Astyanax mexicanus: one gene and its partner. The protein of the gene in region 1 interacts with the protein of each later gene in a pairwise test. Links are inferred from orthologs where the notes say so. Each region holds a gene or a part of one and is shown in the gene's direction. Other genes may lie near its edges.

The links. The genes of interacting proteins can lie anywhere in the genome.
Region 2: the proteins of pcbd1 (region 1) and hnf1ba interact in binary tests that used the Homo sapiens proteins (3 or more experiments, as listed by UniProt). The link is inferred for Astyanax mexicanus from reciprocal best matches to the Homo sapiens genes PCBD1 and HNF1B.

What each region holds. Positions count from the first base shown.
Region 1 is NC_064414.1:37,558,994-37,566,755, reverse strand, and holds the start of pcbd1 (pterin-4-alpha-carbinolamine dehydratase), read left to right. Parts: upstream 1-4,747; 5' UTR 4,748-4,818; coding exon 4,819-4,821; intron 4,822-7,308; coding exon 7,309-7,440; intron 7,441-7,762. Other genes in the region: si:dkey-192p21.6 (heparan-alpha-glucosaminide N-acetyltransferase), read right to left, coding at 1,185-1,263. UniProt on the Homo sapiens protein: Involved in tetrahydrobiopterin biosynthesis. Seems to both prevent the formation of 7-pterins and accelerate the formation of quinonoid-BH2. Coactivator for HNF1A-dependent transcription.
Region 2 is NC_064425.1:13,246,959-13,254,752, reverse strand, and holds the start of hnf1ba (hepatocyte nuclear factor 1-beta-A), read left to right. Parts: upstream 1-4,789; 5' UTR 4,790-4,948; coding exon 4,949-5,310; intron 5,311-6,581; exon of another isoform or gene 6,582-6,671; intron 6,672-7,794. UniProt on the Homo sapiens protein: Transcription factor that binds to the inverted palindrome 5'-GTTAATNATTAAC-3'. Binds to the FPC element in the cAMP regulatory unit of the PLAU gene. Transcriptional activity is increased by coactivator PCBD1.

The sequences.
Region 1 (7,762 bases):
GTAAGATGCTGTAAAGAACCACTTTCTTTAAAGAACCAATGTTTCCAGCCACCAAAATGCTCATGTTGGGCTAACGTAGGTAGAATGTTAGCTATGTGGGTTCTAGGTGGGCTCTGAGTGGTTTTGTACATTTATTAACACAGTTGGGCTTCCTAAAGGTGCATTGTTACAGCCCCCCTTAATCTTACATGGGTCAAATCTAGGCCCCATTTGCAGTTTACAACCCAGATGGGGTCTATGGTAAACCCATTTTGCCCCCATCATTGACCTTAATATGACCAGGAACCTGTGGACTTCCAGTTGGGCTTCCCATACAGGGCTCTTGTGGGCATGTTATTTTGGTTTGTATTAGAGATGTGTGGGTGTGAAAAGCCATTAAATTGACAAGTAAAGAACCATTACATCAAGCCAAGATTCTTCAAATTTACATCCCGTAACACATTATGGGAACCAAAATGTGTTCTTCTGTGGCATCATTTAAATATCATTTTGTATTACCTTTATTCTTAAGTGATAATTTGGCAGACATTGGGGCAGTGGGGACAGGGAAGTCTAGTCTTGGACAGCATTTGGAATGGACAATTTCAATCAAAGGAACATAGTCCATATCTAGGCTTAACCTCTGTCCATAAAACGGAACCCTAACTGTGTTAACTATTACAGGCAGCAAAATCTTTTATTGGAAATATTAATAAATAATTACTGTATTTAATGAGTAATTAGTCTTGGGCATAACGCATCTGTCATCTATAATATCTTCAATATCTACAACAAATCTTCACCGACATTAAAATATTAGGGCAATTAAACTGCCTTTTTTCAAAAAACTTTGATAAATGATAGTTAACAGATCAGCCAGTAAAACTTAAAGAGATCAACACTGACATCTGGAGGAGAAAAGCTATACATGGCTCCCAAACCCTCCATAACACAATCTAGAAAAAAATAGTCCAGTGTATAGTTCAAATTGTGTCCTCATTTGGAACAATTAAATGTTAAATATAATTAAATATTTTTTTTGCTTTTTACTTAAACCAAAAGAAAATTATAGACATTGTCAAGGGTTCACACATAATACATACATAATAAGATAAGCACTAAAATAAGCAATACAAACAAATATACAATACTTATTTGGAGATACCTAATATTAACACAGATACTAGCAGTAAATCTTATGCTACCTGAATTCAGAGCTGTCACGTTCGGTCCTATTACGAGGATAAGAACCCAGAAAATGCGTCTCAGGCTGTAGATCTCCATAGTCGGTAGCAGTAGTAGCTTACTCTGCTGCAGACGTTTATGGCACAAATGAATATAAACAGAGTTCAAAGAGCAGAGATAGACATGCTGGGTGTTTACAGAGGCAAGTATTCTATGGTTTCACTAATGCATGAAAGGACTTAACATAAAGATGAAGCATTCAACCTAAAGTGGATGATTAGAGTCTAATTCAGGCTGAATCTGTGAAGATGTCTGAACATGTACAAACCTCACTGTTCCATCATGCTGTAGCTTTTCTGCTGTGCTCCTTTAAGTCTGTAGTCTCTTGGCCTCTGTACCCATTATTTCCAGTAATCCCACTTAATAGATAATAAATAAGTTAATAGAAGACTGAGGAGATGAAGATTCTTTATCCCCAGAGCCTATCTATCTAATAGTTAAAGGTGTGTCATAGCAAAGTATTTTTTTAATACAATGGCTTGCATGTATTAAGGTACCCCAAGATATTTTAAGCTCTCAGAAAACTTTTATCAAGAGACGCATCCACCTTGTTCTGCCATGTCCACTTTCAAGAATTTGCTTCTACCCCATTTGTGTTAGAATATCTAGGCAGGTCATTTTTATTGTTTTTTGGTTGCATCCAATAAATGCAGTCTGAGGTAGCTACTGCTGTGAACACTGATCGTAATGTAGCTATATATGGAAACCCAACAGTTTATCAGACTGTTAAACATTATTTACAGCTATTTGGGAGCACATTGTGAGGACACCTCACAGTTAACCCTAGGTTACTTAACTAGGTTAACCTGTTAGCTAGTTAGCTTACATATCCACCAGCTTTTAAAGAAGAGGAGCCGTGTGGTTGAATGAGCTATGTTTAACATACATACAAACATCCATAAATCTGCTTTTACTATTCTGCCGGTGCTGTAGTTTAATTTATGGAGAGGTGCACATCGAGCTACAGCGTATGTGCCAAGGCAGATATTGTTTTTTTTTTTATATTCAGCAGTTAAAGTTGATTTACGGTATTTCATATTTAAAAGCAAACCTTATAGTGTAATTGCATTGACAGACTTTCTTTCAAAGTAAAAAACAATTTTATTAAATGTTTTATTAGTTGTATGCTTTTTTAAAAAAGAACAAATTTAATTGATGCTGGTTTAAATAATTCAGTGTAACTGAGGGCCTGTGAAATTTTAACTTAATGAATTATGTTAACTTCAGATACAACAGAAAGTTAAACATTAAAACACAACACATCCAGCCTACACATTACATTGTACTTTTTTTACATTGTGTAATATATGTAAAAAAAATATCTGAATATATTTGATGTATTGTTGTTTTAGTTTACTATTGCGTATAGCATACTCTCAACCGGAAACAACTTCCACTTAAATGACTGCATTTAAGTGCCATTGAATCAGGGGCATTGACTCAGAAGGAATCCTTATAAGGGCATACAGACATACACACTAAAACATGCACACCTGAACATGAACATATCCTGATGAAACCTGTTCCTCTAAGTGAGCATACTCAAGTAAAATCCCAGAGAAAGGACAGGAGGGGTTACCTTTCTACCGTATTCACTCTTTTCTACTTAATCACTACTCCTGTAGGATAATGAATTGCTTTAAAAGGGTAGGCCTACTCTTGAGATGATTACCTTAAATTCACAGGGTGTTAATTTGCCTCTGCTTCACTAAGCCTAGCAATCAGTCAAGCATGAAAACCGTGGGATCAGCTTTGGAGCTTTACTACCATTCCCACGCAGGGAATGTGCAGGCACAGTCTAATGTAACATAAGCTCTATACATTGATTTACTGGTGCAGTGGCAGACAAAGTACCCAAACCATGCAACCAGTCAACTTATATTAGATAAACTATATGAGTATTTCTGTCTGATATGCATATATCAGTATAAAAGTATATTTATCAAAACACTAAAGGCAAACAATTAGATAGAAACAAGTCGCTATGAAATATGTCTTTTTTGAAGATAAAAAGGTCAAAACAAGTTCAAAACAAAGTGTATGCTGCACCCTTAGTGGTGTGTTTGGTTTAGTGTCTTTTGTGTTGTGTTGTGATAAGTTACAGTATTTAGTTAAGTATAATTTTTTTTCTTGTATTTTCTTATGTTTTTCTTATCTTATATTTTCTTAATTCACACAGACAAAAAAAAAGACAGATGTCTTATTATGTAGTGGAATAAAATGTAAGATATTTGTAATGGAGTTAAAAAAGTCACCATAGTTGGAAACACTTATACATGTATATGTAAAAAATAACTTTACCCAAAAGAGGCCATGTGGAAAAAAAGATGTGTTAAGTTTGTCACAGCACATTTTTTATATCTTAACTCATGAAGCTCCTTAGTGACATATACAGAACATCCTGAGAGCATCACTACAGGACAGTGTGTAAATGTGTGTTTGTTCCTCTGACCTTATTTACAGAATGTAGGAGTGCTGTTTGGTGCTTGAAATAAACGTAGCTACTTTTAAAAGTGTACTACTTTTTTTTGGTTTTACTTGGTTCCAACCAGATTAACAATTCAAAAACTTTAATGAAATATTTTACCTTCCATATAATTAGTACTGATACGATTACTAAAACAACCTAATAAAATGTTTGTTTACAAGTTATGAAACTGTTGTTGTGTCATTTATGTTACATCAATATTTTTACCTTTAAAAATTTACAGTCGGCTCTGAGTGGTCCATCGGGCTAAGCGCTGTCACTACGATCGGGAGATCGACAGTTTGAATCCTCATCATGTAGCTTGCCATTGCCTACTGGAGCCCTGAGAGAGCACAATTGGCCCTGCTCTCTCTCTGGGTGGATAGATGGTGCTCTCTCCCCACATCACTCCAAAGGATGATGTCGATCAGCACAAGGCGTCTGTGAGCTGATTTATCGGAAACTGAGACGCCGTGCTTTCCTCCAAGCATTCTGTAATGCTACTCGGCAACGCTGCATCAGCAGCAGTACGAAAAGAGGTGGTGGCTGAATTCACATGTATCAGAGGAGGCATGTGCTAGTCTTCATCCTCCTGGTGTTGGGGCATCACTAGAGATAGGGGTCCTAATGAGTGGATTGGGTTATTGGCCGTGTAAATTGGGGAGAAAATGGGAAAACAATTAGAAGTAAAATTATTTTAAAAAATACAATAAAATATTTACAGTCATGTTCCCACAATAAGAAAAAAACATGAAATAGACGCTCACTGCATTTATCAGATTCAATTTGGCATCAGTATTCAGAAATGGGTCTGGGCTCTTATGTGTTAAGTAGCAAAGTAAAAAATTACATTTACGTCATTACTATTGCAAAATTTATTTTAATGTATCATTTCTTTACTTTTAAACAAGTCTCTTTATACACTATTTTGGAAATTCTATTTTAAAAAAGGGGGTTAAAATGAAAAACCACCACTAGCACCTGTGTTTGTTTAGCTGTAGTATTTTGCTCAGGCTTCTTCTGGGGCAGCTAATGTACTTTGGGCCTTAGGATGAATTCCAGCTGCTGACTCTGCCACTTTGATTCAGTATCAGAGGAGGAGAGAGGCAAGAGCACAGCACCACGATATGGTAGGACTGTAGAGCTCAGGCTCTGTGATTTTATTAGTTTAGATTACAGATAATATGATAAGCAGGGTGTGCTTAATGTGCTGTTTTCTAGATTGCAGCAGATTGTTGCTGTTTTTACTTTGCTGTGTGCAGCTGTAGTTAGACTTGCTGTCTGTATTTCACATTAGACAAGAGTTTTTTTAATATAATAGAATATTTAGATAGCTTCCCATTGTAAACTGGACAATGCTTCACTGACTAACAGTGTCAGTCAGTGTTTTTCTTTTATACGTTACTGGTTTCTACATTTGGCTACATTTTTATGTAAAGAAAAAAGAATAAACTAGTAGTAACTAAAAGTAATTTAATTGCTATGTAGAAACCTTCATTTAAACCTTGTTTATTGGCTCCTCTGCTCGCGCTGTCCCTAGTGCTGTTGTCTTTTGTGCCGGGTGGTAAAGCTTTATGCTTGAGTGGGCGGGGGGCAGATTAACCTGTTGCTAGGAGACCTGTTGATGTCAGTCAGTCTTATCAGTCTGTTATCAGTCTGGTCGCTTCACTGAGACATCTGTTTAATGTGTGACGCAATACTCTGAGGGTACACATAGAAAAAAACAATATGTTGTTTATAGGGTATATAATATAATTCATTGTTGCTGTAGCTACATGGGGAAAATGCTTTATATTATAATACGTGTGTACAGCTCTGGAAAAAAAATAAGAGACCACTTCAGTTTCTTTGATTTATATGTATATGTTTGAGTCAGAGACAGTCTATAGTTTGAGTAAAATGAACATTGTTTTATTCTGTAAACTACAGACAACATTTTGTTCCATGAAAATATTGTCATTTAGAGCAGTTATTTGCAGAAAATAAGAAATGGCTAAAATAATAAAAATGATGCAGAGCTTTAATAAGACCTCAAATAATGCAAAGAAAACAAGTTCATATTCATAAAGTTTTAAGAGTTTAGAAATCAATATTTGGTGGAATAACTCTGGTTTTTAATCACAGTTTTCATGCATCTTGGCATGTTCTCCCTACACCAGTCTTACACACTGCTTTTGGATAACTTTATGCCACTTCTGCTGCAAGAAATGAAGCAGTTCAGCTTGGTTTGATGGCTTGTGTTCATCCATCTTCCTCTTGATTATATTCCAGATGTTTTTAATTTAGTAAAATTAAAGTAACCCATCATTTTTGAGCGGTCTCTATTTTTTTTTCAGAGCTGTATATATTAATTGTATATGTATTTTACATTTATCATCTAGGTTTCTACTGAGCTGCCCCACTGCTCATCTTATATCATTAAACAAAAAGTAGTTTATTAAAAAAAAGGATAATCTTTGGGGTCAGTTTCCCAGACAGGCATAAAGCATAGTTGTAGACTACATTTTTCTTTCAATTGTATGTTATGATCATTTAAGTTAAGTTTTTTTTTATAGATTTTATTTCAAATGTTCTCCTATTTTTTAGTCAGCTGTATTTATCACTTACTAGTGACACCACAACACACTGAAGACTAGCACATGCTTCCTCTGACACATGTGAAGTCAGAAAATGTTAATTTGAGATTGATGGCTGAGCCAGACTGCAAGCATATGCAACCTGAACAAGCTAGATAACCAGTAAGATCAAGTTTAATCACGCTGGTTGACCATGCTGGTCAACCAGCATAACAAGCAAGACCACGTTGGTCGATCATAATTCCCAGCATGACCAAAACCTAATCGATAACCAATGTTTCAACCAACATGATCATAACATACCAGCTTAGATCACCTAAAACCAGCAGAAGCTGGAGCTCTTCCTCTAACACTGTGACAACATACAAGGTAAAAAACTTACTGATAACTTCATTAAAATATTGAGGTACGTAAAGTATAGAGTGTTGTTTGTATATACTTATCATGTGCAATACTACTTTGGCATAATAAAAATGATGGAATATTCCCATTTGTTTTTATTAAAAATCCAAAAAACTCCTATGTCCTCTGAAGGCATTTGGATGTAGGATTAAGTGTGAATGGAACTCATGTGATCTTCTGAGATTCTTATTGGCTGGTTGGAAGAGGAGGTTTAAATGGCTCAGTGTTACCCACACAGAAACGTGGTCCAGTCTCTCTTATAAAACTGAAAATGCAAGTCATCATTGCTTCCAGATGGGGTTCACGACAGCCAATCGCAGCCCTTATATCTGAAGCAGCCCCCTACACTGTGTTTGTTAGTGTCTTGCATTGCTATTGGAGTTGTATCTGTTGAACTGTATGTGTAGAACATGTAAAGTAATGCACATAATCATCATAATATATATTAATTTCATGCACATTTGTATTAATTGTAGTTTTTTTTAATATGCTAAAATGAATACACTTTTTTCTTGCATAAAATTATTTTTTCTGAACTGTTTGGTCAATTACTGCAAATTTAGCTCAGATATTCAGAGAAAGTTACTGAATAAAGAAGAGCTTTAATTGTGTGTCTGCTGTACTGCTGTGTCTCCTCAGGCTGGTAAAATTCAGACTCTGACAATGGAAGAGAGGGAGCAGCTCCTGCCCATGATGCGCAGTGCCCAGTGGGTGGAAGTGGTGGGTAGAGACGCCATTTATAAAGAGTTCATTTTTAAAGACTTTAACCAGGTGAGTGAACCTGTGAAATTACTATTTATTCAGAAAGTAAATTATTTTTTTTCATGCACTATATGTATAATAAATAAGTTCTTGATGTCACACAAAAACCTTGTATCTCATTTGACAGAATCTGAAACTTTTAAATTGTTTGGCGATTTTGTAAACCTATGGAGAGGTTCCAGGTGTACTTGACTAAATTATATATTTTTTCATTCTTCTGATTTTTTTGAAGATTTTTGATTAATCAAAATTTTTAATAATGTATGTTTTATGTTTTTGCTATCACACAGAAACCTTACTAAAATATTATTTTAAGTCATTTTTATTTTAT
Region 2 (7,794 bases), on another chromosome or scaffold:
ATTTACACACATTCTCATTTGTTAGACTTACTTTTACATAAACAAGCTTTTTTACAATTTATACTATGTATTTAGATGTTTAGATTATATTTTATGTATCAATAAAACACTTTTGCTGCAGACAAACAGTAAAATTGCTGTTTAAATACTAGTAGAACTGCAGTAGTGAAAAGTATTAAACTCTTTATGGAACCCTCTACTAAAACTCATAGCTATTCATTAAGAACAACTCTCGAGCCATAGATCTTCACAGTCCCTGAGTCTATAGCTTTAATTTCTGTTACAGTCAGTCTATAAATTATGTCTCAGTCAGCAGTGTTGTAGCTGGGTTGGCTTGTAGAGGTGAAAGATAATAGTAAATGCCATGACCTCTGAAACACAGTGAATTGTATTTGTAATCTTAATAACTGGCAACCTGAAGAAGTGTCTTAGCATATTTCTCAATACATGTCTCAGCTGTGATTAATAAACATCTGATACTTGAGCAATAATACTTGAGAGGGAGTGCTATAACGTGTAATATTGGCACTGCTTTGCTGCGGTCGTAGGCATGAGGCCACAGGCCGGCTAATAATGTCTTATTATAGTGTTTTATGTGTCTCATATTAAACTCCTCTCAGCCAATCACATTGCAGGGTCAGAACTAACTGTGGTATAATAGATATTTTAGTCTCAATGATTTGGTTCTTGGTCTTCACTGTTTTGTATCAGTTGAGGAAATCTTATCTTTTGGTTTTCTTTGGGCTACTGTAGCAGCCAGTCTCACCCGTCTTTGTTTTGTCTGATGGTGACAATGAGGAATTTTCAGACTGGGTTATCAGTGCCGGTTGAGAGGATGTGCTATGTCTTTATCAGTGTATCTCTCAAACACACATATTTTTTATTGTATTATTGTTTTAGGCTGATATTGGGGTGGGGGGATGAGTTAGTGTTTGGTTCGAGTTTAAAGGAAAACCCCATCTGGCTGAAGGCTTGGCAGTTCTCCTTGCCGTTCTTGGCAGACCTTGAGTCAAACAGCTATTTGCACCGTTACGACCTCTGATACACACCCAATTCTACTCTCAATAGGGGCCTAGCTTTAAAGATACTGTACTAATCGTTTTTTTCCGTATCATGTGCAAAAATTAGAATGTTGTCTTTGTCTTGTAGTTGTCTTCCTTGAGAGTTTTATATATTATTAAAATTGTTTAAACTGATCTCAAAAGTTACAAATCACAACTATTGCTACAGTTTTTTTATTTTGTTCTATTTCTATTTCATGTAACCATTAATTTAATCAGACAAGTCATTAAGAGGCACTTGTTTGTCGAAGAAATATTGCCTGGTGATATTTCTTCAGGCTTTAACCATCTATCTAAAGCTGAAATAAAGCAGAACCGTGATTAACCCATTTATTTATTTTTCTTAAGTAGTCAAAAGCAGTTCATGCACAGCAACACTGTACACTGTGGACAAGAAATAGGCCTAGTGCTGGATTACACTAATATTTTGCTGTATTAATATATGTTTTTTCTTAAAAGACAAAAATGTTATTGATAGATATGCTAATTCTTTGCCATATATACTGGTATTTACAGTAACTAGGGTTTAACAATATTTCTTACTCACTCCATCTGTTAAATGCTTTCAAACTTCAATCTCTAAGCAAAATACAAATAGTCAAATACAAATTGATGCAATTTAGAACATGACTTACTGTTATCTATAAACACAAAAAAATACAGGTTAGCCACAATCTGGACCTATTTAGAGCAGCCTAAAAGACATGTTGCGCATCTTCAATCTAAATGATACAGGTACACCTGCATGTACTGACAGCTGTAGTTTTAATATAGTTTATTAAATGTTGAAACAACATTGCAATATTAATGTTGATTCATCTTACAAAAATTGAAGCACAATTCAACTTTGATTCAACTGTGAAAAACAATGAAATGCAAAATAGAAAAAATACTTTTGTGTATGAAACGTTTTGCTGTATCTTCCCCATAAAATTAATCTTTAGAAGATTTCAAAAGAACCTCTGGACTAACTGTCTTTACTACTACTACTATCCAGAGAATGTTTTCTTAAGGAATTAATTATGACTTATTAATAGCATTAGTGAGATCAGGATGTCGAATGATTAATACCTTACTTTCTTCCCAGAACTTCAGTCACAAAAGTATTGAATGGAGCTCCATCATTACAGAGAACCCAATTCCACTTCTCTACAGCTCAGTGCCTCTACCTGGCATTGCATTAGCTATTAGGCATTAGGCCAATAGGTTCATTATTATCTATTACACAGAGTCATATTCTATTGGCAATTCTTCTTTACATGGACTAGTCAAGCTGTGTGAATGCATTTGCAAATCACTTTTTGTATATAGTTGTATAGTTTTATACAGTTATTATTTTAAAAGTTTTTTTTGTTTAGTATGTTTCAGGTTTAACTAAATGAAACTAAAGCTTAGTTAGCCAAACTAGGTGTTAAATGATAACTACAAATAATACTGGACTGTTAAAGTGACAAATTGACAATCATTCTACATTTTATTGGATAATCCTTTGGCATTATTACCCAGAAAAAAATCCTTAATAAATAAATAAATAAATAAAGAAAGAAAGATTCTGAGAGTACTCCAATGCCTACATATCTCCAATAGCACAATCAAATAAATCACGTCTACTGATAATTGTCATTCCAAAACTTCTAGCAACAAATGCATAATCAATATTCATATGTCTATCATGTTGGTGGTTAAAGCATCCCTACAGGTGATTGGGAAGCAAGGTGTTAATGAAGCTCCTGATCCACACGTGATCCTCTTTTTCACCCAGCCATCCTCCTCTGAGGTGAATGTGAGAGTGACCTGAGATCAGTGTTCTTCACTCACGCTCTGCTTCACAGATTGCTTTCACAACAAGCGCGCTGAAGAAATGGGTTTTTGCTGCTTGTTTTTATTTGTTGTTAATGGTTGACACACAGGCAGCTCTTAAAGAAGTGGAGTGCAGTCCTGTCGCCCATAAAAAAACTTGGCCCATTATACATTTCACCATTATAATGAAAACATGTCCCGTTGCGTCACGGCGCAGATTTATGCGCAGGTTTATGATTAAATTAATTGGCGCCTTTGATTAGCAGCCTATGTCTGATAATAAAATATTTTTTGGTGTCTGTCCTATCAGACCTGTAATCTAACAAGTGTTCACAATTTGTTTGTTTTTATTCTACGTGATCACTGCGCCTCTGGAATGCTAAAGATTAGTAAATAAAATACCGCAAATCTTATTTGAAGAATTTGATTAAAGCTAATCGTACACATTTATGATAAGTGTCCTGTTTGGGTTTCTACTCCACCAAAACAATGTGGTCAGATTGTCGACCGTACAACTATTAATCAAGAGTCGATTTTTTTTAGCACGCGCAACATAACAAAATAACAAAAACTTAAGTACTAAGTATCACCTAATGTTTTTCTAATATTTTTTGCTGATTTAACTTTAAACTTATTGTTGCTCAGATTTTTGGTAAGGTTTCTTTTTGCAAGACAAGCTTGATAAAAATATTAATTTAGCTTGTGTAAGTCAGATTTTGACATTTCGTTGACTTCAAAAAAATAAATAAGATAATTAAACCAGTACTGAAAACAAGCTTAATGAACAAACGAATGAAAGAATACATAAAAACTTTTTGTACGATTGCTTCTTATTTTCTGTATAACATATCGGATAGATGAAACGTGTATTATTTCAAGCAGGCTCAGGTTCAACGAATGTTACGTTCGTGTAAATGTATGCAAAAGCGATGCTCACAAAAGTAAATGTTCGCCATTATTCGCTTCCTTTTATTATTATTTTTTTTCCATATTTATTTTAAAATCAAATGCCCAAACTAATCAGTTATTTGTATTGCATAATACAAAGTCATAGACTTAGTCAAAGACTTATTTAGTCAAGGTCATTCGTCCTTCGTAAATTCGTAAAATTTAATAGACAGCGTTTAACATCTAATTGGAGTCAGATTGAATCAGGCATTTAACAGGATAAAGGTAAAAATGATTTTTATAAATATATATTGTGAGTAATATTTTTGATACGGTTTTGTCATTTTGACAAACTCTGTGTATTTTATATAATTTCAAATATGTCATGAATGGCATTCATCTATTTATACAATTGTGTATTATACTATTATTATTTATTGTATTATTATTACTACTACTACTAGTAGTATTAGTAGTAGTAGTAATAAAAGTATTATTTTTGGTTAATATACTCCTTTAGTATAGGCTCTTGGCGACATTGCGAAGTTTTAAATTATGATGTTCTAGTATTTGTTTAGTTTTTTACTTCTTTTATCATTATTGTTATTATTATTATTATTATTGTTGGTGGTGCTATTATTACCCTCCCCCTTTCAAAACAGTCTGAATCTGACAAAGTCCAAAGTTCACCAGAAAGTCGCTGATAACGGAGACCAATAAAAGCGTTCCAGCTACAGAGCAAACACGCTGAGCCGCTCATTTACATAAAGACTCCGAATACCGGCCAGCCCACTCATTAACATCGGCCTCCAGTTCATTACACACCTGTATTCCGTCAAGACCACGCCCCCTTCGGAGGGATTGGCTGCTAGTCTCGCGCCTTCAGCGTTGTTGAGATTGAGTCCTCGCGAGCGGTCTCGGGTTGAGGGTGGATGTAGTTTTACGCATTGGCCAAGCGCGTAAAAGCACTGACCGAGGGGGGCGTGGCCTCGCCGGAAAACGGGCGGGGAGAAAAAGACGAAAAGCTGTCCGCTGTTTTTAGACGACATCATGGCAAAGTTAGAGGAGCGAGGCTTTTTGGAAGAAGCAGGTGTGCGCGCTGGGGCTATCGCTTCAGCCCTGGAGGTTCTCGCCCTCCGCCTTCTTTCTTTTTTCTCTTATTTTTCTTAGCTTTATTTTTTTATTCACTCTTTTCTTGGATGTTGGGGAGGATGGTGTCTAAGCTGACCTCTCTGCAGCAGGAGCTCCTCAGCGCCCTGTTGGACTCCGGAGTGACCCGGGAGGTTCTGGTCCAGGCGCTGGACGACATGGACCCCCGGCCGGCCACTCTGGGGGTGAAGCTGGAGGGGAGCGTTCAGACGTCTCCGATGAGCGGCGACGGGGACTCGCACAAGCCGGTGTTTCACACGCTCTCTAACGGGCACGGCAGGGGGAAACTCTCCGGGGACGAGGGCTCGGAGGACGGGGACGATTATGACACGCCGCCCATCCTGAAGGAGCTTCAGGCGCTCAACACGGAGGAGGCGGCCGAGCAGCGGGCAGAAGTGGAGCGGATGCTAGCGTAAGTGATTTACAGTGACTGGAAAAATTGGTCAAAATTAATATTTAATATTTACTGTCCGAAATCATACAAATCCACAGCGTATGATTTACGATTTTATTTTAAAATTATATTTGTGTCTCTAAATAAAAAGAGTAAATAAGTTAAATTTAAATGAATGATGTAATGGAAAAATAACATAGCAAAGAATATAGAAAAAGTTAGGCCAATAGCAAACCTAAAACTACTGAGCTGCCTGTCCCCTACATTTTTAATTTAATTGCTGGTTTTGTCAGAATAATTCGTTTAGTGAAAGAAACGTCAATTTTCTATTTAATAATCTAAGTATATCAATACTAAACATTTACACCTGAAAAAAGCCAACTGTACAAATACGTTTTGCAACAAAAAGTTTATTGGACATAAAAGATTTAACAAAGACATTCTAATATAACTTAATTAACTGTGTGAAACGTGTTCTAAATGGAAGGGCAAATCACCATTAACCTTATCACTGTTACCGTAAGGTCCTGTCATCCATTTGTTAATTATCGTGTCTTCTCAATAGCAATTATTTTTCTCCTCTAAATGTGAACTTTAGGAAAAACTGTTCAGCTGGTTCTGGATTAATGTTAAGAGATAAGAAAAAAAAAACGCGCCGCGGTAAATACAAAAAGCTGACAAAAGAAAAATTCGTGTCTAAAATGAAAGCTAAAGACGAAAATTAGATGTTTTATATTTCTGACAGAGCTGAAGTTGCCAGGTGGTGTTTACAAATTTAAAACCCCGCGCCACGATTTCATCTTTTCGCTTTCTGGTTACTAATTATCTACTCGGGTTATTATTTCTTTAGCTTGAAGAAATATGAAGTGAAGAAGCTCCATTTATCATTAACTATGGCAGCGCAATGGAGACTACATTTAAATAATATGTGTTCTTCCAAAAACTATACAAAATAATATTGTTAGATAGTTACTTGCTAAAAGATAGTAATAATAATAATAATAATAATAATAATAATAATAATAATAATAATAATAATAATAATAATAATAGCACCAGTACATTCCATCAGTGTAACTTAAGCTAAAGTATACTTATGTTTAATTTCATAATAATACCCACTTTCACTTCTTTTTTTTACTTCTAACCCAGCATAAACAAATGCAGTTTAAAAACCCAAACTAAAGCACGTGGAGTTGAGTTATTATTAATTTTATTCTATAAATCATCAACTGAAAGATACACAGTGGCGTGTGATTAGTGTGAATGGAGGTTCTGGTTATTCATTGGTGAAAGCCATAATCCAGGTTCTCTGCTCTTTCTCTCCAAACCAAACACTCGACTCTCCTTCAGGTTACACACATCAACCTAACACTGCGGTAAGTCCAGATACAAATATACGAATAATATTTATCGTGTTTACTGCCGTTTACAATTGTAATCGCCTTTCCGAACGCGGTTCAACATCTTGCGTAAAACCGAATAGTTATTTTTATTTAGTCAAAGCGATTTTAATACGTATTAATGAAAAAGGAAAATATGTTATCTGATTTATTTAACTAGTTTTTTTTATTTATTTTGTATTTAATTCAGTATTGAATTGAGTCTTTTAATTAAAGACGGCGCTACCACTTAAACAAATTCAAAGTTTTTATTTGAAATTATTTTGTACTTATTTTTTAACATACATAAAAAAAAAACAAAAGAAAAATACGGGAAGTGATTTCATGAGTTGTTTTTATTTTATTGTATTAATTTTATGTGTTCATTGTTTTCATTTTATTATGTCTCAGTCTTCAAAAACATCTGTCCTTTTTCAAAGATCGCTCTAGCTCTAAAGGTATTCTATAAACGTTAGTTTTTAATTAGATCAGACAGGGCTGAACTGAAGCCTGTAACCTTTGGAAGTCTTTAGAGCCGTTGATTAACTTTCATTTATTGGCGGGATCAACAACTACATGAGCATGAAAGAAATAGAGATATAAAAATATATCGGAAATATATCGGAACCCATCCCATACTGATAACATGAGGTTCAACAGCATGTCCTGTTTACCTAATCAGTTATTTCACCCAGCAGTTTTTTTTATTTATTCGCATGCGTTTGATAAATTAAATTGTTATTTTTCTTAAATATCCATTTAAATGATTTCCCACAATAAGAATAACAACCATAGCATCAACCCCACACAGAATCTTAATTTCGGGAAAAGACAAAATACTCTTTTTTCACACTCTGATCTGGACTCACAAAAACAAACAAACGAAAATCGATGCCACATTAGTTTTATCGGTAGTAAGACAAAAAAAGAAAAGAAACTAGAAATACGAAACGTAATTCAAACTTTCAATAAATATTAATAAAACTGAGAAGTATTACAATAGAAAAATGCTTTTCTCATATCAAGTGAATTAAAAACAGTTCTTGGACCTTGTATGGCCTATATAATATAAATCAATTTTATAACGTAAACATACACTGTAACACTCTATTAAAGGACG